Linked DNA regions of Mus musculus. The protein of the gene in region 2 interacts with the protein of the main gene of each other region in a pairwise test. Links are inferred from orthologs where the notes say so. Each region holds a gene or a part of one and is shown on either strand. Other genes may lie near its edges. The genes, in order: Kirrel2, Fhl3, Slc25a46, Theg, Sap30bp, Dcdc2b and 1700007K13Rik.

Region 1 (3,500 bases), on a different chromosome or scaffold from region 2:
CTTTCACAAGCACATTTGCGTCTTTGCCTCCCCCTTTTATTATTAAACATAAGTATTCTTAGCCCAAGAGTCCCCTTCATTTCTTCTATTTCCACCCTACCCCATTCCTTGGATTCAATTCTTTCTGTATCTTTAAGGAAGGAGTCAAGATAGTGGCCATTTTGGTTCCCAGATAATGAACAGCCATGTAGGCTATACTTATTGGCCAGGACGCGGTGGGGGGGGGGGTGTGGATTATTTCTTTCATCTTGATTTGTCTTATGTTATCCTTTCTCTTGATGCAGATGGTCATATATCTTCTCTACTACTTCCATCCATATCCCTAGTTCCCATCTTTGTCCCTCTGCAAAGTATTTAGTCATTTAGTCACCATCTTGAATGTCTTTCTCATGGGAAAGCGGCCATATTGCTCCCACTTGGAGAATCCACTTTGGCTGAACTGAGTGTACACCAACAGTCCTGATGCTTGTAATGATCTTTCCCTCCTTCAATGTTCAGTTTTGGAGGGGTTGGTCATCAACTTGTTCTGACTCCCCAGAAATCTGGACAACACACTATATGGCAAACAGAAGATTCCAAGACCCTTCACTTGGAGAGATGGATTCACACATGAGTCTGGAGACGCTGGTGGCTGGGTGGAGACAAGGTAGCATACGGGAAGGGGGGAGTTCCAGAGCTCAATTCTGGGGGTCCAAAGGATGTGGGTTTCATGTAGCTGGTGAAGGCACGGGGATGGGGGGTGGTAAGATAACCTGCCCTCGCTCTGTACAGTCTGCAGGGAGGGACTAAGTCCAGATGTGGCTTGAAGTCATAGTAAGTAGGAGTCCCTGGGAGACCGATCGGAGAGGGCGGTGGCAAGAAGAGGCCTCCTCCAGGAGCTTCCCCAAGGCTAAGGCTCACACTGACCCCTCGAACCCTGTAGTAACCGTTGGTTGGATCCTGAGGAACAAATGAGACTTGGTAAGGAATGTGTGTAGAGAGGTAAGGATCATGGGTGGAAAGACACACAGAGCTACAGCTAGATCTAGAGATAGGCATGGAGGCAGAAAGCCAAAGAGCAGAGCCAGAGACTCACAGACAGAGAGCTATAGACCAGCATGGAGATGGTGGCGTGGTGCTGGCTTCCTAGAACAAGTGAGGTCAGACTGAAATTGGGGAGGAAGGAAGATGAGGATGGGAGAGGGAGGGAGGGAGGGAGGGAGGGAGGGCGAAAGGAAGAGTGGCTTTCAGGTCAAGAGAAAAACACACTTAAGTATAGACAAGAAAGTTTTAGCTAGGATTAGGGATGTAATTCGGTCAGTAGAGCACTTGTCTAGCTTGCTCAAGGCCCTTGGTTTGATTCCCAGTACTACACAGAGTCAATGTGGAGGCACAAGCCTTTAATCCCAGCACTTGGGAGGACAGCCAGGAGCTTATGATCAATCCTGGCTACAGACTCCATTTGAGGCCCTCCTGGGATGCTCGAGAGTCTGTCCGAAGGAAAAGTCAGGACGGGGGGGGGGGGGGGTTTAGAATGGGAACCAGGGCTGAAATCAATGTGTCTGTCCTAAGACAGAATTCCAAAGTAGGGATGTCTTTGAGGGTAGGGTGGGACATCGTGAAAGGATGTCTGGAAGGTAGCAGCTGAACAAAGAGAGACTTAGAGGCATAAAACATGGCAGATGGGGAAAGAAGAATCCAAGGCAAAATGAATCAACAACAGAAGCTGATGTTGCAGCTGGTGAGCTGGCCCAGGAGGTGAGAGTGCAGTTAAAGGCAGGTCTTTTTGGGGGGGGGGGGTGAGGGAGGCTAATGACAAGGCTTCTCTGTGTATCCCTGGCTGTCCTTCCACCATATCATAATCAACTCAGGTCATAAAGCTTGGCAAATGCCTTTACCTGATGACCCATCTCTCCCTCACTTGTTTGCCCTTTTGATTCAGTTTTATTATATTATATTATATTATATTATATTATATTATATTATATTATATATTATTTGTTAGTTTGTTTATTAATTTATCTTTATTGAGACAGGGTCTCTCTGAGTAGCCTGGCTGTCCTGAAACTCACTCTGTAGACCAGGTTGGCCTGTCACTCAAAGATCCTCTTGCCTCTGCAAAGGCCTGTCCCACCACCGCCCGGCAAAGGTCTTAAGGTGATGGAGTTAAAAGGAGAAGAGAAGCAGAGAAGCTGCCAAATGTGTTCAGGTCTGAAGCTTGCAACCGCAGCAATCCAGTGGCTGGCTTCAGGAGAAAGACTGTGCAGCGTCCAAAGCCAGCTACAGGGAGACCCTGTCTCCATAGAGCTGTTCTGGGAGTGAGCTCCTCCCCCAACACTCACCTTTGTCTCCAGAGCCTCTTTTTCCTCAAGAACCAAATCACTGTGGTCGGTGTGCACAATGGGACCCTGGAATGGGGGTGGGGTATAGTGATAAGCCATGGTCAGAAGATCATCTGATCTATCCCTCTGCCAGTTCCTAGTCTTTCATGGCCTTCTTAGAGAAGAGAGCTGAAGGCTAGACTTAACAACAAGGAAGGCTGTGAGAGCACATTGAGCCACAAGGATAACTGTGGAGAAACACACTTGCAATTGTGAGGATACTGTGGATCTGGGGTCATCATGTTTAAGACTGGGGCCAAGCTGGTTATAATGGTACATGCCTTTACTCTCAGCACTCAGGAAGCAGTGGCAGGAGGATATCTAATTTGGAAGCCAGCCTGGTCTACATAGCTAGTTCCAGAACAGCCAGGGCTACATAGAAAAACCCTGATTCAAACAACAACAAAAAGCCTAGGGCCATACTTGAGTTTGAGGGTGGGTTGGACTGGGTTATTATGTTGGTCTGGGAGTACATTGGGAATGTGGAGGCCCAGAATCTTACCCGGTCCTCACTGCTGCCTGTCTCCTCCTCAGGGCCACGTGAACTGGAACCCTCGCTGCTTCCTGGGATCCGGACCAAGTTCTTTTGCTTAGAGAGAGAGCCTGAGGCCCAGGACGTGAGAGGCATTCATTGGTAAGGGGGAAGTGACCAGTACGTAAAACAGAGCTAACTGAACAAAGTGTGCTACAAAGGTTGGGAACCATGGAGAACTCCAGCCTGGGAGAGATGGGACGGAGCTGGGGTGACCCTGAGGAAACTGAGCAGGACTAGGGATAAGATGAGCCCATGCAAGCATTGGGAGCCAGGAATTGGAGCCAGGTCCCAAGGCTGTCAGTCAAGGGTGTCAATCAAGGGGATGGGCCTGGACAGGGGATGGAGAGGAGTAGGGTTGGGACTGAGGCAAGTTCAAGGCACTGATACTTGCCATGGCGCCAGCAGCAGAGGACCACTCCAGTGATGACCATAAGGAGAGAGGTGGCTGCAGATGCTGCACCAGCCACAATCCGGACAGTAGGCAGCAAGTCTATAGGGAGCAGATGGGGTGTGTACAGTGGGCAGCAAGTCTGTAGGGAGCAGATGGTGTGTATACAGTGTGGGCAGCTAGCCTGTAGGGAGCAGATGGGGTGTGTACAGTGGGC
Region 2 (4,126 bases):
TCCCAGTCCCTATGTCTCTAATGAGGACAGAGTGAAGGGCACCAAGGCCCACTTGTCTCCTATCTCCTCCCAACCCCCCTTCCCCCCACAATGCCTGGCAAGGCTGGGGGACTAAAAGGGTGAGCTAGGAGACAGTTTGTATTCCTGGGAGCAGGTGGGGGGTGGGGGAGTGAGGGGGCTGGAGGGGTGGGGAGGTGAAGGGGTAGAGGAGTGGGGGGGTAGGAGGGTGTGGTTTAGAGAAGACAGTGGCTCTTCCAAATGACCCCAATCTGCTATTTCCACGAACACACATTATCTCCATACCTGACTTAAGTAAGACAGACAGACAGACAGACAGACAGACAGACACACACACACACACACACACACACACACACACACACACACACACACACAGGGCTGGAGAGATGGCTCAGCAGCTAAGAGCACTGACTGCTCTTCCAGAGGTCCTGAGTTCAAATCCCAGCAACCACATGGTGGCTCACAATCGCCCGTAATGAAATCTGATGCCCTCTTCTGGTGTGTCTGAAGTCAGCTACAGTGTACTTAAGATATAATAAATAAATATTAAAAAAAAAAAGACACACACACACACACACACACACAGAGTGAACTTCTCAGAGCTGAGTGGCAGGATATCTTTCTGTATGGTGTCCAGTGGATAACAGCTTGCTTGAGTCACAAAAAATACACCTGACTTGAAATCCTGTGACCTTGGGTATACAGTTTTCATTCCCTGAGAGTATAGGTGCAACCAGTTAAATGAGATACTATTACTACCTCCCTCTCCTAGGACAGCTGTCAAGCTAAAATGTGATAATCCCCATGACAGCTTCTGTAATAAGTCTGTAGTAAACGCTAATCACTGTAAGTAAACGCTAGTCACTTGTATTTTTACAACAAGCCCCTCAACTCCTACTGGAGCCAAACAGTGGTAGTCTCAGGTAGGCCCGAAGCAAGAGTTAACCTGGGATGTGACCTTGGGAGTCTTAGTGAAGTCTGAGGGAACCACTGGTACACATCGTAAGCTCTAGCCCAGCCAGTGGGATACCAGGGTGGGGTGGGGGGGACTTTAAAGACCTTAGAGATGGTTAGTTCCCAGGAGCACATACTTGCTAGATTCCTTGTCATCTACAAAATACACACCCCACGACCACTGCATCTCAGCTTACGAAAAGGAAGGACAGAGTATAGGTCCCCTTTAGAGCTCAGTACAAGATACCAGGGGCAGGCTAGGGGCATGGCCAAGGCTGTTCAGCAATTGGAGCAGAAGTGTCCTATCCATCAGAGGGGAACTCTGCCTAGAAATGCTTTGGTAGTGGTGGAAGGGGCAGTCATCCTTTGGGGGGGAGGGAGGGCGAACAGGAGATACACTAGAGCTGGCTGTCTTCCCCGGCTGCCAGCCTGCCATTGGAAGACACCCAGAAGTCTTTCCAATTACCCATGCCAACTGCTCAACCCTTTAGTATATCCCCCTTCCCCGCCTCCCGCAACCCCCCCCCCCCGCCCATCCCAAGTCCAGGAGGACCCTGGCCAGACCCCACAGCTGTAACTCAGAGAAGACCCCTCCCCCTTGACAAGAGACTTAGGGGAGAAATTAGAGCCCCCCCCCAACCAGGCACCAATCCCAAACTCTCCACTGCCCCTCTTCCCCACAGGGCCTGGAAGTCAAAGCAGTTTAGGGCGAAGGGAGCAGATCCTGCAGCTGCTCCGAGAACAGGAGAGGGACATTTCATTCACCCCAGAGTCCCCTAGGGCTGAAGCAGAGCGTCCAAGATTTGAGTTTAAAAATAAGTTGGCGCTGTCTTAGTGGCTGTGTGTGTATGGGGCTCTCTCTCTCTCTTCAGCTCAGCTTTACAGCCTCAGGTCCTCTGCCTCCTGGGGGATGGGCTGGCTAAGAGTCAATTTCCCCCTAGCCTTGCCTCCACCCTTTCAAGCCTGGGGCAGCTGTCAGTGAACACACTAGGTGTCTCTCCTCAGCGAACTCTAGCCTCCACTCCGTACCTCTCAGTACCCTTGAGCTTAGTCAGTACCCGTCTTTGTGTTTGGGTGAAGGTGTTCCTGTATCTCTGGAGCTGTGTCCCAGTAGGGCCTCCACTCTGGGGATCTCTATCCCTGTTCATATCCAAGTCTTGGTCTCTCTCGACGTCTCTATGTCTCTGACCTGAGAGTCTCTTTAGGCCTCCGGGAGGCAGATTTAGCGCTAGTCTAACAAGCTCCAGCCTCGGGGCCCTCCAAGGCCCTGGGAAGGGTGCTAGCAATGAGTTCCCTGGGGCCATACATTTGCTTCTTAAAATGCTCCCCAGAACCCGGGTCCCCGCCGTGCCTCGAGAAGTTCATCCGGCCATTCTCTGCCCTCGTTGGAGTGGTCCCGGTAGCCTCCTGGGGCGCGCGTCCTTGTCTGTTCTACCAGGCTCCCTAAGAGCCTCAGTTTCTCCAACCCTGCTGATCTCTGTAGCTTTTCTAGTTCAAACTTGGTCCCCACCCCTTGCAACTCTGGCGGTCCCCGCCCGGCCGGGAGGCGCGGAGCGGTGGGGTCCGTGCAGGCGCGTGGGGTCCCGAATTCGGGATGCCCCAGCAGAAGACAGGGGTGAGGGGCCCAGAGAGCGACCCTGGTCCGAGCGCAGCTGGGGCGGGGGACTCTCACCTCGAAGCGGGCGCGGGAGCTGGGCGCGCGCGGCGTGGGTGGGGCGGGAGCCGATCGCCCGGCGGCTCCTACCTGTGGGCCAGGCGGAGGGGGGCCGAGAGAGCAGCGGCGAGGTAGCCGGCTGCGACTGACTGTGTGGGCGAGTGGGCGCGCGGCCCTAAGCCTCCGAGGAAGTGCTCGGGCCCGCCCCGCCCGGACCCCGCCCCCGGGCCCCCAACCCGCCCGCAAGGGCCAGACCCCGCCCCCTCCTGCCTGCGGCGAGCCCAGCCCAGTCGAACCTGGTGCTCTGACCTCCTCGACCACTCCTTGCTCGCCCCCTGCAGCTTAACCCGCCTCCTGCGCCCTTCGGACCCCGGGGGACGGCTGGAAGCGATCTCAGGCCAGGGGTGCAGAGCTCCTAGGACTAGCTAGAGTCCATCTGGAGACCAGACCTCCCTTCCTCTTTTCCCTCTAGCTCATCCCCAGATGTTACACTAAACCTTAGCTTGGGAAGGAGGCCTTAATCCAGCCGGCTGGAGGCGTGGTTTTGATTCTGCCTTACCAGCGGAGATCAAGGTTTTTTTTTTTTTTCTAGAAACTTGGGCTAAAGAGAGCGAGCCTTTATCCTCCTCAATTTCAAAGGGCTTTATTCTATAAGCGACTGGCGAAAGCACAGGCAACAACCTCCCCATCCTCAACTGTGCCCTGGCACTGAGGTTTCTATAGTGCCCAGGAATAGTTTTGACCTTTGAGGCTCAGGGAGACCCTAATCCTCGGCCTCCCTGGCTTTGGGTTTCTCGAGAGGGTGTGTGAACAGTGCGAGTGGTTGGTGCAGGCAGGGGTGGTTAAGAAGGGAGGGAACTTGTGCAGTTTTTGATCCTCCAGCTTCTACCCTATTCCGGGAAGGGAGGACTAGTGTCTGCCAGGGACACGAGGCCCATCCAGGTCCTTGAGGCCACCCCCCTTGGGATCCTCAGGCTTGTCACTAGGAATAAATAGCCTTGATCTGGAGGGCGGGGTGGGGGTGGGGGAGCTCTGTTGTGCTGTTTGCAAAACAAGAGACAACAAACTAACCCTGGTAATAACCTTTGCGTCTCGGGGATGATTCAGATGTCCAGAGAGGCCCCCCCTAATTCAAGGCTGCATCCAGCCTTGCTAGCATTTTGGGGATTAAGACCCTTCAAGGCTGGTGTGGCGCCTTCCCTTCTGTATCAGGGGTCTGGTTGCTAGGTCCTAAGACAGCCTCTAGGCCAGGTTTTCTTTCAGAGTTAAAGGATTGCTTAAATGTTGTTGATTCTTAAATTGCAAATGCCACGAGGGCAGAGGTTGGGTCGGTTTTTTTTTTTTTTTTTTTTCACTACTGCATTCCCAGTATCTACTCCAGTGTTTGACCTGCAGTAAATGAGGGATGAATGTCACACACTGCTTTCATTTGGACCCCCTGCCACTCCCTGCCAGGCACCTACTATCAGACAGTCTGAGGGTGAGCCCTTCCTCTGG
Region 3 (3,133 bases), on a different chromosome or scaffold from region 2:
AGTTAAACAAACATAACAAATAGTAAGGTCAGTAAAACAGATTCAAGTCATTGCAATTTCATTTTATACTTGATACATTTTTTGTTTCTCCCCAGGATCAATTTTACTTCAGCATGAGTGTTATACTAAAATGTAACTTTACATTTTAAATTTAAAGTATTACCTTTATTGAGTTTTCAATTTTGGAAAGGTTTGACCCAGTATTATATATCTATATATCTATATATCTATGCCTTAAGAAAAATAAAAAGTCAGAATAATTAGCATGAGGTTTTCCACCAGTGGTAATTCCCAGCCTATTTCTTTCCGCGCAGTATTTTTACTTTTATTACTTGAAATGTCATAGCAAATTATCCAACATCTTTTGGTTCAGCCAATCATAGAACCTAAATCTCAAATGCTATTCTGAAGAAGTGTGGAGTAAATCATTTTGGTAATCTGTAAGATGGTTGCATGCAGTGTATACTGTATTATAACAGCACCAAACCCTTTATAGAAACCAAACACTCCTTCCTCCTGCTTTATGGTATTTATACAGTCTCTCATTCCCTCATACTGCGTATTAATTGGAAGTACTTCGTAGCCAAGGTCTGTGTTGTCAATAATTGTGCGTGTTCCTTGAATATGAAGACGATGCAGAACTGTTTCCAGTGGGTAAAGTATAACGTCAGAACAAAGGCTGGCAGCAAAGTTCGCAATAAGTTCTGGAAAATAGGCATCCAACATATTCTGCATGGGGCTAGTGCTCTCAGCTAGGTGGCTGTTATAGGTCTTTCTCTTCAGAATTAGAAGGACAATCTTCTGAATGATGGAGCTGATAATGTAATGAAGAACTCCATGCAGCACTGTTGGGAAGATCAATGAAAACAGTGGAAGAAGGCGTTTGCTGTGAGGCACTCCCAAGCCTATCACTCGTCCAATTCCTTCTTTAACACATTCCAGAATGCCAGTGTTATCTCGGATTATCTCACTCTGAAACATAAGTGATGAAAAAGGTACAATTATATTTTTTAAAAAAGATTTATTTGTTTGATGTATATGGTTGTTTTGCTCCATGTATGTCTTTGCACCATGTGTGTGCCCTGCCTGCAGGGTCCAAAAGAGGTCATGAGATTTCCTGGAACTGAAATGATGAGAACTGAAGCCTGGTCCTCTAGAAGAGTCATTAGTACTCTTTACCACTGAGTGCTCTCTCCAGACCCATCAACTTAATAATTTTTACAAAATTGCTGTAGAAAATAGTTATTATATCCCTTTGAGATAAATGTATTCACAAAAGAAGAAAAACATCCATGATTTGCCAACTTCAGCTGTGAGATTAGATTAGCATATTCTTTTTCAAAAGAAATATCATAAAGAGCAATGAGCAGGACATATTCTACCACCAACCACCTACAAGTCCCTTTGGTTCCTCATCCAACTATGCAACTCTTTTTTACCTATTCCCCCTTCCATGCCATGACCAACCTTTCCACCCATGTGCATCAAGCTCCACACTTCAGGCTTAGACCAAGAAGCACATTTTGTCTACCATCCCAGTCCCTTCAACAGGAGTCCTGATCTTTTTCCACCCAAACCATTTACAACCTCTAGGACAAACCTGTGCTGACATCCCTGCTTTTACCTCAACCTACTCAGTCCATATCAGACTTAGAACTAACCAAAGGAAAGAAGTCTATATGACCAGATCCCATTGCAAAAATTCCAAAATATGAAAGATCAAGCCAGTATCTTCTAAAACCTACTGGTCATATATTAATATTTGCAAAGGAAAATTACCTAGGTAAACCCAAGGATTCAGAATTTAAAAGAATAATCATAAAATTCATCAAAGGCTTCAGAATTTAAAGAAGACACAAAGAAACAACTCAATGAAACTGAGGAGAAAGAGCTTAAGGAGAATAAACACCTTAGTGATGCCCAAGAAACACAAACATAAAGCTGACAGAAATGATTAAGACAATCCAGGACCTGAGAACAGAATTCAATAAGGAGATAGAATCACTGAAAAAGGCTCAAACTGCAGTTAGGAGACTCTTATTAGTAAAAAATAAATCAAATAGAACAGAGAATATCAGGACTTGAAGATAAAAAGCACAGGATCTAGATCAAATAAGCAAAATATTTAAAAAAAAAAATTAAACACAGAGAAGGAACATACCAGAAATGTGGAACACCATGAACCTACAAGTTATAGGCAAAAATGAAAGAGAGATTACAAGTCACAGACATAGATCTGATCTTCAACAAAATCACAGAAGAAAACTTCCCCCAAACTAAAGAAAGACATCCACATACAGATACAAGAAGCATACAGAATACCAAACATACAGAAGAAAAGAAAATTAGTTAAGAGAATGTATAACAAAGAAAGTGTATTGAAAGCTGCATGAAAAAAAAAAAAAAGCAAGTTACATACAAAGAAAATTATATCAGAATAACAACTCAGTGGGAACTTTGAAAGCCAGAAGACTCAGGAGCAATCCATTCCACATTTCCAGTCTTAAAAGATTATAATGGACAACCTATACTAATATACCCAGCAAAACTGTCATAACTGAAGAAAACTTTCTATGATATAAACTGAACATCCAAAAAATTGATATCCAATAAGCCAAACCTAAAGAAAATACAGAAATCAATATATGGTGATTTGAATGACCCCCTTAGGCACATATATGTTTGAATGTTTTGCCCCCAGTTGGTGAAACTTTTGAGGAAAGATTAGGATGTGTAGCCTTGTTGGAGGAGCTGTGTCACTGAGGGTGGGCTGGGCTCATTCTCTTTTTCTCCCTCTGCCTGCTGCCCTCAAATCAGGATGAAAAGCTCTCAGCTATTGGTCCAGTGCCAGACCTGTTTGCTTCCTGCCATATGAATCATGGACTAGTCCTCTCAGACTGTAATAAAGTCCTCAATTAAAGGCTTTCTTCTATAAGTTGCCTTGGTCATATTGTTTCCTCGCAGCAATAAAACAGTAACTAAGATGCTATATTCCAAGATGAATAGAAAAATCAGCATAGCAGGGAGAGTGTGTAAAGAAATACAAAGTCATAATTATTAAAATACATAATACTGTGAACACAAGCACCACCACTAAAAATCAACAATGCAGGGACCACAACATACCCATATT
Region 4 (4,179 bases), on a different chromosome or scaffold from region 2:
ATAGCATTAACACAGAACAGGGCTGCACATAGACACAGTGGTGGCACAGGTCCTGCCTCAGCCATCAGTGTATAGTAGAGACAGCAAAGGTTTGCCCAAGGGGCCCTTCAGAAAGCATGAATGCCCTTCAGGTCCGTCCTCTATAACCTGTGGTCACGAGTGCCAGTGTCACTCATGCTGATCAAAGTCAGGCTGATAGATCACCGGCGGGTGTCATCCCCTTGATCCCTGAGGTCAGACTGCTAAGGGACATTGGCTAGACCTCTTGAGACTCAGCAGCCAGAAGCAGGGCACATTAACCCCCTCTCAGAATGAAACAGGAAGAGGTTCTGCGCCTGGCCGCCCTCCCCCTACCTGTTATTGTTGTAATATTCCTGGTAGAACCGCTTGGGCCTCGAAAGCTCCTCCATGCGCTGGGACACCACTGGACAGAAATGACCTGGTCACCACAGCTACCCTAGGCCCCAGCAGGACCCACCCTCCACCCCAGGGTTCTACTCAGCCCTCCACAGGTCCAGGCACAGGGCACAGGCTAGAGACATGGGCAGACACTTGGCCAAAAGTGTCCCCAGCCACAGGCATAATACAACAGACAAGACTGGCTCCTTCCTCCCCATGGTTAAACCTAAGAGGCTCGTAAACTAGGTTTTTGTCTGAAGTTGGTGCTGGCCTAGGATTTCTAGGGTTGGGGCAGGGCATGGATGAGACTAGAGCCCCAAGAGAGGTCATCCTTGGCTACACTCATCCACAGAGGAGCTCTTGTTGGGGTCTTTATTTGAAGGAGTCTTTATGCTCAAAGAAGATGGATCCCATTTGGGAAGGAAGGCAGGATCTCTGTAATACAAATACTAGCCCTGCCCAGATTTGCCTTAGGGACTACCCTGAACCCATCTCCCTGCAATCCCACAGGGTTCCAGCCACTCAGAGAGGTGGGAAAGGACTGGAGTCCTGAGAGTGGCCTGGGAAGGTGGCTGGTAGCCACATACTGAGCAGAGCCAGCAGGCCCTGGACCAGGCAGAGGACACCCAGGCTGCCCCAGAGAGAGACAGAACCTACCAGGGACCGTGATGGTCAACGTGGTGTCCTCGATAAATCGCTCGGTCCAGTATACAGAAGGCCTGGAATACAGCCGAGCAGCTCAGGGCAGGGTGCCCTGTGCCCTGTGCCCAGTGCCCTGTCCTCTGCTAGGGAAGGGAAGCCTGAGGCCCTGGAACAATGGACAGGAGGCTGGGGAACCAGGAAGCACAGTCGGGGGAACAGAAGGTCAGGCTGGATTAGGGCAGCGAGCACCAGGGGAAACACAGATTATCTAGAGTGAGGCCCATGTTCCAAGATGGAGCACATGAAAAGGCCAAGTGCAGCCTGGAGAGCTGGGCCCCTCAGGTACACAGACACAGCCCAGCAGGCCTAATGCACAGCAGGAAGACAGAGGCAGGACAGCCCTAGCTCTAGAGCCCTCCACCCCTGCAACTTGGTCCCTGGAGAGAAGGCAGCTCAGGTGTATCCTTGGAGCTTGGCATGTCCCTGACATGGACAGGTGACAGAGGGAGGGGACACCCCAACTCACCAATACAGGCAGAACTGCAAGTTGGTCTTGCGTGGGGAAATCCAGGCATAGCCCTTACAACAGCGCCCCGTCCTGCGATGAGACAGGGTCCCAGGCCCTGCCTTTGCCTCTGGGTCCCCACTGGCTCCCAGATTCCTCACTGTCCTCTGGGTACCACCCAAGGGTCCCACCTCTGGTGCCTTGCCTGGTGCCTCCCAACAGTCCATTTATTCTCTACGTGTCCTGCCCAAGGTGCCACAGGGGTGATGGGCTGGTGTCCGGGTGTCAGAAGAGCACAGCAGGCTAGGTCACCTACTACCTCACCACCTCATGGGCCCCAGCCCTCACCTGTCTCTCAGACATTGCCAGTTGGTCTTAGGCTTCGCCAGCTCCAGCAGCCTCCGGCTCCTCTTTTTCCTGCCCTTGGCTGTGGAGACACTGGGAGTCCGCTCAGTGATGGACAGATGGCTGCAAAAGAATGTGGCATCAGGGCCTGCTGGTCCACCCTGACGTGTCTTGGAGCTTACAGAGCAGTCTTGCTCCCCTACCAGGAGCCTCCGGTCAGCTCTGAGCCCCTGGAGCAGTGGACACTGGGTGTGTTTGCTGTCACCCAGGCCCCACACTGTCCAGAAACTGAGCCCTGAGCCCACGGAACCAGAAGTAGCCAGCTCCCACCTCCTGGGGCTGTTGGGAGAATAAACACGACATTCACTTCTCTCCCTAGTGTTTATTGAGGACCTGGAGGAGGACAGAGCTACGAGTAGCGTCCCTTGCCTCTGGGAAGCTGGGGGTGGGGGGGTCTCCAAGGGGAAGGACAACGAAGGTGTCCAGGATAGACTGGTGTGTTAGCATCTGCCTCCTTGGCACCTACCTGCCCACTGGGTCCCCAACACCCACCTCATTTCAACCACTTCCACCTCCAGGTCTTGTTGAAGAGGACCATCCAGATTGGAGGTCTCCGGGAGCTCTTCCCCAGCCATCTCCTCTGGGGGGATTTCCTCCTCTGGTTCTTCTGAGGTTCGCCCTGTAGTGGCCTTAGAGCCCTGCAACCAATGGCTCCCAAATGGCTCGCTCTCAAGGTCCAAATTGCCATTGTTCTGTCCCTGCTTTAACTCTCCCAAAGTCTTGACCTCCGGGATTGGGTTACTGAGCAAACTGGCCCGGTGTTCACCAAGTTCCCCCATGTGTACTGCCCCTCCTAACCCTTTAACCTCACTCCCTCCCTCAGCACCCAAATGGACCTATGGTTGCCACAGCAACAGAAGAATGCCCACCCATGGATTCCGAGGCCCCATTCCATCCCAGTGTTGGAGCTAAGTCTGAGGTGCACAGCTCAGGACTCCACCCTTCGTGTCTTTCTTTTGGAGTGGGAGACAAGAGGCGACAGGGTCTCACTATGTAGCCCAGGCTGGCCTCAACCTCCTGAGTGCCGAGATGACCCATCTGTGCTGGACTTCAGAGTTGAGCCTGGCTTCAGTTCTCACAGAAGGGTGTGCCCCTCCAGTGGGTGGGTTTATGGACTCCACAGGGATTTCTGGGCAGAATTTTTTCTTTTCCCTTTAAAAGAGCCACAAGAAAGAAACCACATCTCTGCTTCCTGGTTATGATTGGGCTTATCTTTAATGTCTGTTGCTCAAGCAGCCATTCTGTGACCACAGGGCCTGTTAATCTGATGGCAGGTGAGCTTCCAAACATAGCACCCTCATAGATGGCTCTGGCTTTCTACTTCTTCCTCTGGTAGCTGACTCTCAGGTCCTCACAGCTCAGGGTCCTATGACACATGCAGACTCTGCCCTGAATTATATAAGGAAGTACCTTCCGAATATACCACCTTGCATCTTACAATGAGATGATGGCTGTGACAGAGGGCACTGCCAACACACCCCCATTTCCAGCCTGAGCACGTGGGGAGCTGATAGAACAGAGGACCGTGACCCCCATACCATGGCTGGAGAGACTCCATCTCTACTCTCACTGCTTTTACAAGAGTAGGATTGAGATGAGGTCATGGAGGCAAGTGGAAGGGGCAGAGTCCCAGAGACCAGGGCGATGAGGAAGTAATACCTTTCCAAAGCTCACAGCTAAGGGGCCAGATGCAGGGTGATACCCAACCTCTGACACGTGCTGGCTAACCTTGACTGTCATCTGAGACCAGCCTGGCTGGAAGGATTAAAGGGAGACCTTCCCCCAGAGTGGCCAGTACTTTCCAATATCTGCTCAGCTATAGTAAAGTCTAAGGGGAAGGCCGTGTTGCCTCCTGGCCTTTGCTTCTTGCTGGTGAGTGTGTATACTCTATTGTCACCTCCACTGCTGCCACCTTCCTTCACTGATATCAGAACCCAGATTTTTTTTCAACTTTCCAGGGTGGACTGAAGACCAGTGGTTCTCTAGGAACCCTCAGGCCTTCAGTGACAGATTGGGACTGCTAAGGTATCCAGCCTTATAGACTAAACAGTTGCCAGGTAGTCAGCTGCTGCACAGGGTAGGCAGTCACTACTGGACTAGGCAACCCATATCCTCCTGAGAGCCAATCTAATAAATGCCTTCCCTTCTGATATCCTGGAGAGCCCTGGCTAACACATGAAAGGTGGTGGAACTAGAGCCATTGCGGACCCCAGGGACTACGGAGGTAC
Region 5 (3,500 bases), on a different chromosome or scaffold from region 2:
ATGCCAGGATCCAAGAAGCAGTACTTTTAATTGGGTGAAACCCAAGAGGTGTCTGGACAAACCCTGTCCAGTGCACACCATTGCCTCTGCTGTAATGTCCTTCCGGCTGGAATGTCACAGAGGCTCCTCTTGGAAGGCATGTGGGGAGTGCATCTCAGTCCTAAACACACAGAGTGGCACCTCCCAGTGGGTGGAAGCTACTGGACTGTAGTCCTGCCAGGCCTGGGGTATCCTCTGGTCACTGCCAGTCCTGGGGCATCCTCTGGTCACTGCTTGGCCTTCTTCACGATGGTGCCCACAGCAGAGATGACGGTGGTCTTGGAGCCACTGGCACTAGTGGTGACAGTGACCACTGCTGGCAGGGTGGCTGTGGTGGTGAGGATGGTGGGCTGTGCTATTGTCGTCACGGGGATGGCAGAGTCCCACTTGCTCTTCCTCTTCTGGGCATCTAGAGGTGACACAAGAGATGGGTCAAGATCAGCACCAACCAACAGGACCCAGAGGCAGGCTTAGGTCCAGGACCCCAGAGGGGAGCGAGCTTGGCACAGACCCTCTCTAGACAGACCCAGGAACGCCCTGCTCTACCCGGAGGCCCCGAGGCAGTGCAGGGGACGGGACGAGCAGCCTGTACCTGCGACAGCTGTGCTGGCAGTACTGGTGCTGGTGGCCGTGGCATTGGTCGTGGTGCCTTTCTTGGTGCCCGTTACAAACTCAATCTGGAGGGGAGAGAGGACAATGAGACCACTGCAGAGGCGCGTGTCCATTTCCTGTGTTGTCCGTCTGTCTGCTCCCAGGGCACAGGAGTTTGGCATTACACACAAGAGGCCCTGAAACCCATCTTGGCTGGGAGCACCGGGGAGAGGGGGAGATGCCTGAGGGGCTTTCATCACTCTTGCAAGAACTTTCCCAACAGATGTGGGATCCCTCCCAGCAGCACAAGTTACTGCAATACCTGGCACCCCTGCCCACTGTCCCCCTAAGCCAGGTGCCAGGCCTCTCCTCCTCCTCACACCCGGAGGAAGTGATACTACTGCACAGGACAAGGACAGGTGTGGTCTCCAGACCTTCAATAAAGCTGGGGTTTGGAGGGAGGAGGAAAGAGCAAGAAGGGAGGAGATTCGCTTAACGGTTAAGAATGAGAAACTTGGGGCTGGAGAGACAGCTCAATGGTTAAGAGCACCGGTTCTTTTCCAGAGTTCAGTCCCAGCACCCACATGGTGGCTCACAACCATCTATAATGAGATCTGACTGCCCTCTTTTGTCACACAGGCATACATGCAAATAGAGCACTCATATACATAAAATACATACGTAAATTTTTAAAAAGGACAAGAAACCTAGCTTCTTCCCTCCCACCCCTCCCACATTCTTGGCTACAAAGCCCTCAGAGAGGGCCAGCAGCACACCCGGCCTTGCAGCCCGCAGCCTGCAGGAGAGGGAGTATCTTGTGGGTCACAGCTGCTGGGAGGAATTCAGCCCTACACACAGGAGGAGGAGGTGTCCTGATGTCCAGCTAACAGTCTGGGGATCTGAAGCTCCTGAAAGAGTCCCTCTGATGACACTGCTACATAAGTGGCGCTTGGTGTCCAACGTGGCAGCTTATGTGGGACTCTCAGAAGGAAGACCAACTTCTGATCAGGCTGGGGAGGCATCAAAGAACTCTAAGAGACAAAGCCACCAGGGCTCTGCAAAGGGGGATAAGGAAGGAAGGGCAGGATGCAGGGAACGCTGAGTCTTCCACAACTGAGCAGTGGAGATTTCTATAGCTGAGTCAGGGGTTGGGCACAGCCATCTGCTCATCACAGAGGCCATGGCCAAGGCGGCTCAAAGCCTCACTAGACAATGAAGAGCAGGGTGAAGGGAGCCTGGGAAGCCTGATTCTTCCACTCTGCCAGCAGGACCTGTGCACCCCACAGCAGTCCACGCTACATACAGTCCACACCCCCAGCAGTCCATTCTACCCCCCGCAGACCACCCCACACAGCACCTCCACCCCCACACAGTCTACACCCCCAGACCATCCCCCCACAGCCCACCCCACAGAAGCCCCCCTCCCCCATCCATCCCTCCCCCACACACCATGTCCACCCCAGGGGCATCACTTACTTTGGTTCGCTCCTTTTTGGCCTTTTCTAATTTGTCCATTTCAATCTTCTGGGCCTTGGCTGTGGGGACAGACAGGCTGCTATGAGCAGTGTATGACTGGGGAGGTCACTGCCTTGACCTTGCACTCTTTATACTGGCCTAGAGGTGTACACGGGCTCAGCAACCTTCTGCACTTGGCAGGATCAGGTGCTAGGCCCTGGTCAGCATGGACCATGGGCCTGGACCAAGGCTCTGTCACAGGGGCCGCAATCCTAGGGAAGGGTAGGCTGCTCCTGACCTTAACAGTGGGAACTACCGTCCTACTAAGAAACTCAGATGCAGACTTTTATTGTAAATAAAAATACTGGTAACTAACTCAAAATAAGGCAAAACTTGTAAGGGCCACACATACGTGCACTAAGGAGCCAGGGCTTGGATCACAAGCTTCTGGCTTGTGACGGGGACTTACAGGCTCAGGCTCTGAAATTACTCCCAGTTCTCTGAGCTGTGGTCACTGGCCTTAGAACACACACGTCCTCTGCCTCGAGCATTCTAGCCCCTGGGCCTCTCCAAATCTTAGCTCTAACAGTCTCCTCAACAGGGCCTCCCCAGTCCTTTGGCCAGGTCAAAGGTTTCCGGCTGTACCACACTTTGCTCAGGTTAATTCAGCCCTGTGGGCACTGCCTGGCATAGAGACCCTAAGTTATGGTCACCTAAGTCACTGACTGGATGGACAGACGGATGGGTGTGTGGATGAGTAGATACAGAGAGCTAACAGGTTACCTAATGCCTCATAGTAGGAGTCTTCAGACCAGCCGTGGGGATCGAACATATCCTGGAAAGAGAAGGTTAAGTTGCAGTCAGAGCGACCATCAGTGCACAGGGCCCAGACACGGAGCTTCCTAGGGCAGGGCCCCGGCCCTTTTGAAGGCACAGGGCTTCAGCTGGCTCCCTGACCACCAGGCCCAGAACCAGGAAGCTCCTAAGAACAGAGAATGAGCTCAGCTGGTGGCAGGGGCAGTGGGCCCACTCCTGGCTTCTAACTGGTTAGGACCCTGAGACTTCCAGCAGTGCTGCTCCGTGGACCTTCTATGGCGTGCAGTCACACTCACTACAGCAAGCTCCACCGCTCTCCGGGCTCTGAGTATAGGACATACCTTTGGGTAGTTGGTGCCCAGCTCATCAATGGCACAGAACTGGATCAGTTTCTCGTAGATGCTGAAAAGGGAACAGAAGAATCCATGAGCAGGTTCGGTACTGGTCCCATATTCCTGTATGGAACTAGAACCACTGGCTCTGCGAACAATGACAAAGAGATGAAGCCTCTAAACCCAGCTCACTTCTACCAACACAGCAGCCTCCAGATGGGACGCCTGTCTCCTCCTCATGTCTGCTCTGCACCCTCCTCAGAGAGG
Region 6 (4,003 bases), about 4.9 Mb from region 2:
CTATCCTGGGGGTGGTGGGAAAAAGAGAAATGGGCTTTGGACAGATTTGTGATCAAGGAAAACCATTCATCCTAGGCCAGGTCCAAGGATGAAGCCACAGGTGAGCACTAGGATAAAGCAAGGCCATGGGAAACTGTTGCTTTGAACTTATAATGAGCTTGTAGAACGAAGCACTGCTTTGAACTGACTATCAACATCCTTCTGTAACTCCATTTGTGTAAACTTTTTACCTGTGGGTAATTTTATAAAGAACTTTTGTCTAAGAAGGTATAAAAAAGCTGAGAAAAAAGTGTGGCTGCTGGGGCTCTGCTCCACCCAACAAATATAAATATATATATTATGTATAAACATATATGTACAAATATATGTATATATATGTACATGCATATGTGTATGTATATAAGTATTCATGTGCACTTGTGAAATTGACGAAACAGGTGGTCAGGCCCAGCCAGATTGTGTGTGTGCGTGTATGTGTGTGTATTTGTGTATGTGTGTGTAGATGTGCATGACCTTTCTATCTTTTCTTTCTGACCAGCCTCTTAAGAGGTCTGAGTTTCATGCTGGGCATTCTTGCCAGCCCCAGATATTTAAGTTTTGTTCCATCAGCAGAGCTGACCTGTAAATTGCCAACCACTGTCATCGAGGCCTCTATGGCTGCTATTAGCGATGACCCCACCCCAATCCGCACCCCATACTTTGATGCTTTCCTCAGTTACCTGAATGTCAGACCAGGCTTTAGAAAGTTCTTAGCCCTTCTTCTTTTATCTCCTGCCTCTGATCAGGACAGATTCTGGGCTGTCTGGGTCACCTCCCACTGACCTGGACCATCATCCCCAGAACCAGCGAGCAGGGCTGCCAAGAAGTCAGCCATCCTCCTTGGGTAACAGGCTCCAGGCTAATTGCCCTCTGTCTCAGCTGTTCAAAGGAGCCCAAGCCCTGGAGAAGATGGACATCTCCCTCTCACAGGGCCCGAGGTCTTCCTTTCATCCTGTGATCAGACCACCCTGGACAAGGGCTGGGGTTTGATCCCAACTTTGCAAAACAAAAAAGTGATCACGCCAACCTGCTCCTGAGGCCCTGAGGTCAGGGAAATGCTCCCATGCAAGGGGCTCACAGCCTTCCTGGATAAGAGGGCAGGACTCTACCTTTGGCACAACTCCCAGCCCACTCTTAGTTCCTTGGCAACAGCTCTGTGTCTGTGAGTGAGGATATACAATGGCAGCCAAGAGGATATTGGTGTATCGAAATGGGGATGCCTTCTTCCCAGGCCACCAGCTGGTGGTGACCCAACGCCGCTACCCCACCATGGAGGCTTTGCTTTATGAGGTGACATCAGCTGTGCAAGCCCCGCTGGCTGTACGTGTCCTCTACACACTTAGTGATGGCCACCCTGTTACCAACTTGGCTGACCTACAGAACGGAGGACAGTATGTGGCTGCTGGCTTTGAACGATTCCACAAGATCCAGTGAGTGGGTTGGGGCTGGCTAAAGTGCCTGTAGAGAGTGGTGGGAATAATAGTGTATCTAGTACTTCAAGTCAGCAGGCTTAGTTTTTCCAAAGCCTGGGGAGAGACTGCACTACCAGAGTGCAGAATCACACTGAGAAACTAGCCAGAGGCTATGTAGACAAATAAATTGAGCTGGAACTCAGATTAAGTTCTGTTACTAAGGTGTATGTCCATCACAGCCAGGACAAACCTGTGGGGACAATTCTGCAAGTTGGACATCTTTCTGAAGGGTGTTTTTTGTTTAGTAATTACATTTTTTTAAGCTAGGCAGTAGGTGGCACATACCTTTTATCTTAGCATTCAGGAGGCAGAAGTAGTTGGATCTTTGATTTGGAGGCTATCCTGATCTATAGAGTGCATTCCAAGACAGCTAGGGCTACACAGAGAAACTCTCTCATAAACCCCTCCCCCCAAAATCTGTTTTAAGGCAGGGTCTCATTGTATAGCCTTGGTTGGCTTGGAACTTCCTCTGTAGACCAAGCTGGCCTGCAACTCCCTGCCTCTGCTTTCCGAGTGCTGAATCAACTCATCCTCTGGAAAAGCAAGCAGTAAGTACTCTTAACTGCTTAGCTCTCTCCAGCCTCGCGCACGCGCACGTGTGTGTGTGTGTATGCGTACTAATATTCATTATGGTTTGTGCACAGGTCAGGACACCTTGCCAGAGTCAGTTCTTTTCTTCCTCCATGTAGGCCCTAAGGTGGTCAGGCTTGGCAACAAAATAGCTTTGTGTCTGCAGCCCTGAGCTGCTGCTGCAATCCCCACCATCACCAGACACTAAATGTGCCTACCACTTAGCATCTGAAACTCCTGTTAGATTAGGGTCATCTCTGCAAGATGAGACTGTGCAAGATGAGACTGTCTTCCTTAGCAGGAGAACAGTGAGATCAGAGCTTCCAACTCAGCCTGAGCCTCCACGTCTGCTCTGAGAGCTCAGTGGAGGAGTTTACTATAGGGAAGGAACAAGGTGTCTGGACTCAGTCACTTCCTGTGTAATCTTGAAAAAGTCGCTTCTTTGACTATTATACAAAAAAAAAAAAGTCACCTCATGCATGACTGGGGAATTTCTGGACTAAAGTAAGATACTTCATGCTTGCCTTTGGCCTCCAACCGTGGTGTACCTAAAGTCCACCTGAATTTACAGCCTTACTCGGTACTCAGAGACCCTAAGTCAGGCTCAGATATCTACATTCCTGGTTCAAAAAGAGAGTGCTCGGGCTGGTGAGATGGCTCAGTGATTAAGAGCACCGTTTGTTTTTCTGAAGGTCCTGAGTTCAAATCCCAGCAACCACATGGTGGATCTGTAATGAGATCTGATGCCCTCTTCTGGCACATCTAAAGACAGCTACAGTGTACTTATGTATAATAATAATTCTTTCTTTAAAAAAAAAGAAAGTGCTCCAGTGAGGAGGGATGCTTAGGATGCTGGGAAGCTACTGGAAGATTGCCTCACCCTGCAGAGGACAGTCCCAGCCTAAGGGAGAGTCAGATGTTTAGCTGTACCAGGAAGAAGTATGAAGAGATGACTGTTTGCTGTGGCGGGTGGGCAGGAGGTCAAATGAAAGAATCTGGAGGCAGGCTAATAACTACTGTAGGCCCATAATCCTCGCACATGGTACACAGAGGTAGGAGGGTCCGAAGTTGAAGATCATCTTCCACTACACTCAGAGTAGAGGCTAACCTGGGGAAATTCCACCCTCCCATCTCAGTCTCACTTTCTAACTCTGGCTAGCCTGGATCTCACTAGGTAGATCAGGCGGCTCTCAAGCTCAGAGATCCCCCTGCCACTGCCTCTGGAGTGCTAGGACTGTTTTTGTTTTGAGACAGGTTCTTATCTATATAACCTTGGCTGTCCTAATTCTCACTCCATAGACCAGGCTGCCCTTGAACACAAAGATCCACCTGCCTCTGCCTCCCAGATCTGAGGTTAAAGGTGTGTGCCACCAATGCCTAGTCAAAGGAGTGCTAGAATTAAAGGCATATGCCACCATACCCATTGCAAAGTTGTCAAGGGAAAGGTCAGCCTGCAGAATAGACTCCGCAGAGCAGCCATGATGATGATAGAGTCTTGGCTTTGATGGGTATAAACCTGGATGGCAAAGGTTTACACTTTCTTAAGGTGACCTAGGACCTATCTGTCCTTTCAGCTATTTGCCTCCTGGAATGAAACACCCAGGTGGAAAGACTAGGCAACAACATGTAAGTCTGGGGGGCCACTGTCTGTAGCCTCTCTCGTCCCATCCCTGGGACTGCTCGAATTTTGAACAGGGTTCTGGAAGCAGCAAGAGTTGTGATTTCAGGGGGCACATCACACTCACTCTAGAACCTGCTGCTGTCCTGGGTTGTGGGACTTGAGGACACTATCCCTGGCTCAGTCCCAGTCTTTTACGTAATCTCCAGGCCATGGTCCCCAAAGGAATAAGTAAATGGTAAGACACAAGGGCAGAAGACAGGAGTTATGTGACCCAGGAAGCACAGATGCTCCTGTCAGAAAG
Region 7 (4,010 bases), on a different chromosome or scaffold from region 2:
TTTCTCTGTGTAGTCCTGGCTGTCCTGAAACTCACTCTGTAGACCAGGCTGGCCTCAAACTCAGAAATCCACCTGCCTCTGCCTCCCAAGTGCTGGGATTAAAGTCATGTGCCACCACTTCCCGGCAGCACTCAGTTCTTGCTGAGTGTGGCCACTGTGAGTCCGGGAACTCCAGTGATGACAGGGGGACATGTGGTGTGTGCAGACCAACCTCCACCAGGTAGTAGTGTCCTACCTGTCCTCAGACCACCCTGGGCCAAGATCACCTGATGTTTTCTCTCTTTGGCAGGAAAAGCAAAGAGAAATTATTTCAGGCATTTTTCAAGAGGCAAATTTGAGATCTCCTGGGAAACTGAACATAAAATATAGTGTCCAAGTCCGGGTGTGGTAGAGCATGCCTTTAACCCCAGCACTTGGAAGGCAGAGTCAGGCGGATCTCTGTGAGTTTGAGGCCAGCCTGGTCTACAAAAAGAGTTCAAGGACAGCCAAGGATGTTACTTACACAGAGAACTCCTGTCTCTGAGAAAAAAAAAAAAAAAAAAAAAAAAAAGTGTCCAAATACCATTCCAATGCACACAGCTCCCCCTATTGTCTGCATGGTGTATTGCAGGTGGAGCTGATGGCCAATACCTGAGCTGTGCACTGAGCACTGGGGCCTGCCCGCTCTTGGCTCTGCACAGTCAATGCATTCTGACAGTCCATAATAATAAATATCCACCAGTGCCGTAGCTGACAGAATAATACTAAGAGTTGCTCACAGGGTGCAGTGGACTGAGTCAGAAAGCTGACAAGTCAACCCCAGAGAACAGGACTAAGAAGCACGGAATACCTACCCCCTAGCTTGCCTCTGATACCCGCGGCTTGTGGCCCATGACCTGCTAACCTGGGTGAAAGCACCACTGTTGAAAAGAGCAGCTTCTTCTCCGTGGCCTTTTACAAAGGCAGAACAGAAACCAGGGGTGTGGCTCAGTGGACAGATCACCACGTCTAACGTCTGCAAAGCCCTGGCACTGCACATCTTTTAAGCCAGCACTTTCGAGGTGCAGGCAGTTCAAAGCTTTGAACTGATTCAGAACTAGCCCTGGCTAACTTGAGACCAAAGGCACTTATTACCAAGCCTGGTGAAAGGAGAACCAGCTCTTACACGTGGCCCTCTGACCTCCAACCACGTGTGGCATGGCGTACCCCCACACAGAGACAAGGCGAATGTATTTAAGAAGGTATGGGCAGCAGTTCCCATGTTCCTGCTTCCCACAGAAACACCTTGCGTCTGATTTTGGAACACAGACTCTTTCCGTGGACAGGCTCTTCCGAGGAGTTCTGCCACTCGTATGAACGCTTGACTTCACTAATTGGCCTTCGAGTGCCCGGGCAAAGGTGTGCGTGCCTGTCTGATGGGGAGGAGAACGTGGAAGCAAGTTTACTTGGACTTTCCTGTCTACAATCTATTCTGCTTTGAAATTGCATTCTATCATCTCTCTGCCCCGCCTTGTCCTAACTCGATTTGAGGTGCCATGCATTTACAACGTGGGACGCTGATTCCCAACTCTGACTCCTCATAAGTCTGCTTTTCCAGATGGCCCTCGTCCTGGCAGGCCTGGCTTGCACTTACTGGCATCTCATGCACCGTGGGGGCTCTGCTTCCGTAGGTTTGGTTACTGGTCCTGTACATGGAAACAGCTTCCTTGGTCCTGTGGGAGAGAGATGCACTGTTTCTCACACATACTCAGAATAAGTCAGCCAGGTCATAGCCTGGAAGAATTTGATTGATGGAACTTTATTGTCCCTGACGGTGGCAATACCATGTCCACGGGGCTCCCACTGAGAGCACTCTCTCCCAGCAGACCTTTCTCTCTGGCCTCCTCTGCTGGCCATGGCCCCTGATCTTTCCAAAGGGAAACCCTAGAGAACACCCAGCCAGCAAATGCTGGCGGAGGGGTCTTGGTGGGACTTTGGCACAGACTACCACTGCCAGGTATGTAAGCTACCTCGGAGACAGCGTCTCAACTTCCAGACCCTGGAAGTCCCTCTGCTTTTGAGCCCCAACCTTACAGAGGCCAAGCTCCTGTCAGGAGGGAAGGAGGTAAGAAATCTAGTTTGTGAGACTGTGGCCTGTGATAGAGGCTACCAGCCGCTCTTCTTCACACCCGAGGCCTCAGCAAGTTGTCTTCTTACTCGTGGAAAGGGAGTGTGCCTGCACCAGCTTCACACAAGTCAAGAAGGTTTCCATCCTTACTTCCCCGAAAACCAGGCTGCCCTGTAAGGTGTACAGCTTTCAGGGAAGCTTTAAAAATAGAGACATCCCCTGCCTGCAACAAGGCTATATTCACACACGTTCACTCTGTGGTTGCTCAGACAGCAGGACCCTAACAGTAATGATGACACAAATAAAGGTTCATGACTGGCTCCTTTTGACCTCAGTAGCCACAGCCACTTGAGAGTTCTCAAACACATGGCCAAAGCTAGGGCCGCCCTGCTGCATGAAGAAGGTAACCTCAGTCTTCCTTACCCGTAGCCATGAAACCACCCCGGGTTGTTGAACCTGACTGGGAGCTTCTCGCTAATGCGGTAGTAGTCGCTGGTCTTCTCTGGGGCAGGCTTAGCCTTGGGCTCCCCCGGCTCCGGCTCCTCTGGGGCAGGCTTAGCCTTGGGCTCCCCCGGCTCCGGCTCCTCTGGGGCGGGCTTAGCCTTGGGCTCCCCCGGCTCCGGCTCCTCCGCGGACTGTTGAGGTTTTTCTTCAGACATTTGGCCTCCCGCAGGAAACTAGCCCAGATCAAGTCTGTGCCTGCTGCGGCAAGGCGTCCTGTTGCTAGGCAATGAAGTCACCTGATCAGGAGGTGGGGCGGTCTTTTGTAGGTTGCTTTGGCTAGCAGCTAGCTGTAGGCAAGTCTAGAATCTTCCCGAGGGCGAATAACAAAGGAGACCGTAAGTTCTAAACAAGGAATTCCAAGCTTCCACACGCTGCTCCTCAGGGAGATCCGCTGACCTTTTTCTGGGACTGTGGGAACATCCTTGTATCGTCCCAAAATGCACTAGGAGGCAGATCCTGGACGAATGAAACCTTAGAACCTGGGATTTCACCAGCCAATAGGCAGGAATTAGGTGCTTCCAATCTCTGCCTGAGCAAGTACAAGTCTGTCGTTTACTGTCCTGGCCATGGCCTCTATCACCCAATACCCCCACAACTCAGCCTAAATCTAGATGTGAGGTGCTGCTAAATTTAGGGAATCCTAGGCCATATATTGGTGAAATATAAAAAATGATCTTGTGAACCATGCACATAGTTCAGCATTAATGACGTGCTAGCGCAATGCCAGGAGGCAGATCTCTGAGTTCGAGGCCAGCCTGATTTAAAAAGAGAGTACTAGACCAGTCAGGAGTATATAGTGAAACCCTGTCTTAACAACAATAATAAAAATAAATAGTAATTTTAAAACAAACAATAAAAAATTACTTAGGGCACAGTGTGGTGGTGTGCACCAATAATTCCAACACCCAGGGGACAGAGGCAGTCAGATCTCTATGAATGTCTGGCCAGTCAGGGAGATTGTTGTTGTTGTTGTTGCTGTCATCGTCGTCGTCATCATTGTCAATGTCATCGTTGTTGTCGTCATAGTTTAATGTAATTTGGGGATGGAGAGATGGCTCAGCAATTTAGGGCATTCATTGCTCTTGTAGGGAACCTGGATTCAACTCCCAGAGCCTACAAGGTGACTCATAAACACTTTTAACTCTAGTTCCTGGAGGTCAGACACCTGCTCTCCACAGGGACAAGGCACTCACAAGGTACACATACATACATGTAGGCAAAAAATAAGTAAAACTAAAACAAATGTTAAAAAATAAAAAAAATGCATGCTGGAGCGACGACTCAGCAGTTAAGAGCACTGACTGCTCTTCCACAGGTCCTGAGTTCAATTTCCAGCAACCACATGGTGGCTCACGACCATCTGTAATGGGATCTGATGCCCTCTTCTGGTGTGTCTGAAGATAGTCACAGTGTATTCATA

The links.
Region 1: the proteins of Fhl3 (region 2) and Kirrel2 interact in binary tests that used the Homo sapiens proteins (3 or more experiments, as listed by UniProt). The two-hybrid records come from large-scale screens. The link is inferred for Mus musculus from reciprocal best matches to the Homo sapiens genes FHL3 and KIRREL2.
Region 3: the proteins of Fhl3 (region 2) and Slc25a46 interact in binary tests that used the Homo sapiens proteins (3 or more experiments, as listed by UniProt). The two-hybrid records come from large-scale screens. The link is inferred for Mus musculus from reciprocal best matches to the Homo sapiens genes FHL3 and SLC25A46.
Region 4: the proteins of Fhl3 (region 2) and Theg interact in binary tests that used the Homo sapiens proteins (3 or more experiments, as listed by UniProt). The two-hybrid records come from large-scale screens. The link is inferred for Mus musculus from reciprocal best matches to the Homo sapiens genes FHL3 and SPMAP2.
Region 5: the proteins of Fhl3 (region 2) and Sap30bp interact in binary tests that used the Homo sapiens proteins (3 or more experiments, as listed by UniProt). The two-hybrid records come from large-scale screens. The link is inferred for Mus musculus from reciprocal best matches to the Homo sapiens genes FHL3 and SAP30BP.
Region 6: the proteins of Fhl3 (region 2) and Dcdc2b interact in binary tests that used the Homo sapiens proteins (3 or more experiments, as listed by UniProt). The two-hybrid records come from large-scale screens. The link is inferred for Mus musculus from reciprocal best matches to the Homo sapiens genes FHL3 and DCDC2B.
Region 7: the proteins of Fhl3 (region 2) and 1700007K13Rik interact in binary tests that used the Homo sapiens proteins (3 or more experiments, as listed by UniProt). The two-hybrid records come from large-scale screens. The link is inferred for Mus musculus from reciprocal best matches to the Homo sapiens genes FHL3 and PIERCE1.

The regions. Positions count from the first base shown.
Region 1 is NC_000073.6:30,447,516-30,451,015, forward strand, and holds the end of Kirrel2 (kin of IRRE-like protein 2 precursor), read right to left. Parts: intron 3,386-3,500; coding exon 3,287-3,385; intron 2,995-3,286; exon of another isoform or gene 2,964-2,994; coding exon 2,863-2,963; intron 2,388-2,862; coding exon 2,322-2,387; intron 940-2,321; coding exon 604-939; 3' UTR 251-603; downstream 1-250. UniProt on the Homo sapiens protein: May regulate basal insulin secretion.
Region 2 is NC_000070.6:124,699,373-124,703,498, reverse strand, and holds the start of Fhl3 (four and a half LIM domains protein 3), read right to left. Parts: upstream 2,801-4,126; 5' UTR 2,648-2,800; intron 103-2,647; exon of another isoform or gene 1-102. UniProt on the Homo sapiens protein: Recruited by SOX15 to FOXK1 promoters where it acts as a transcriptional coactivator of FOXK1.
Region 3 is NC_000084.6:31,582,798-31,585,930, forward strand, and holds part of Slc25a46 (solute carrier family 25 member 46), read right to left. Parts: intron 973-3,133; coding exon 394-972; 3' UTR 1-393. UniProt on the Homo sapiens protein: Transmembrane protein of the mitochondrial outer membrane that controls mitochondrial organization.
Region 4 is NC_000076.6:79,584,337-79,588,515, forward strand, and holds the start of Theg (testicular haploid expressed gene protein), read right to left. Parts: upstream 2,801-4,179; 5' UTR 2,731-2,800; coding exon 2,444-2,730; intron 2,015-2,443; coding exon 1,895-2,014; intron 1,640-1,894; coding exon 1,568-1,639; intron 1,119-1,567; coding exon 1,057-1,118; intron 425-1,056; coding exon 355-424; intron 1-354. UniProt on the Homo sapiens protein: May be involved (but not essential) in spermatogenesis.
Region 5 is NC_000077.6:115,961,159-115,964,658, reverse strand, and holds part of Sap30bp (SAP30-binding protein), read right to left. Parts: intron 3,304-3,500; coding exon 3,243-3,303; intron 2,921-3,242; coding exon 2,869-2,920; intron 2,166-2,868; coding exon 2,107-2,165; intron 717-2,106; coding exon 632-716; intron 449-631; coding exon 267-448; 3' UTR 1-266. UniProt on the Homo sapiens protein: Plays a role in transcriptional repression by promoting histone deacetylase activity, leading to deacetylation of histone H3.
Region 6 is NC_000070.6:129,611,473-129,615,475, reverse strand, and holds the start of Dcdc2b (doublecortin domain-containing protein 2B), read left to right. Parts: upstream 1-1,203; 5' UTR 1,204-1,218; coding exon 1,219-1,469; intron 1,470-3,655; coding exon of another isoform or gene 3,656-3,707; exon of another isoform or gene 3,708-4,003.
Region 7 is NC_000068.7:28,463,525-28,467,534, forward strand, and holds the start of 1700007K13Rik (UPF0691 protein C9orf116 homolog), read right to left. Parts: upstream 2,801-4,010; 5' UTR 2,746-2,800; coding exon 2,510-2,745; intron 2,490-2,509; exon of another isoform or gene 2,427-2,489; intron 1,692-2,426; coding exon 1,613-1,691; intron 1-1,612. UniProt on the Homo sapiens protein: Microtubule inner protein involved in the attachment of outer dynein arms (ODAs) to dynein-decorated doublet microtubules (DMTs) in cilia axoneme, which is required for motile cilia beating.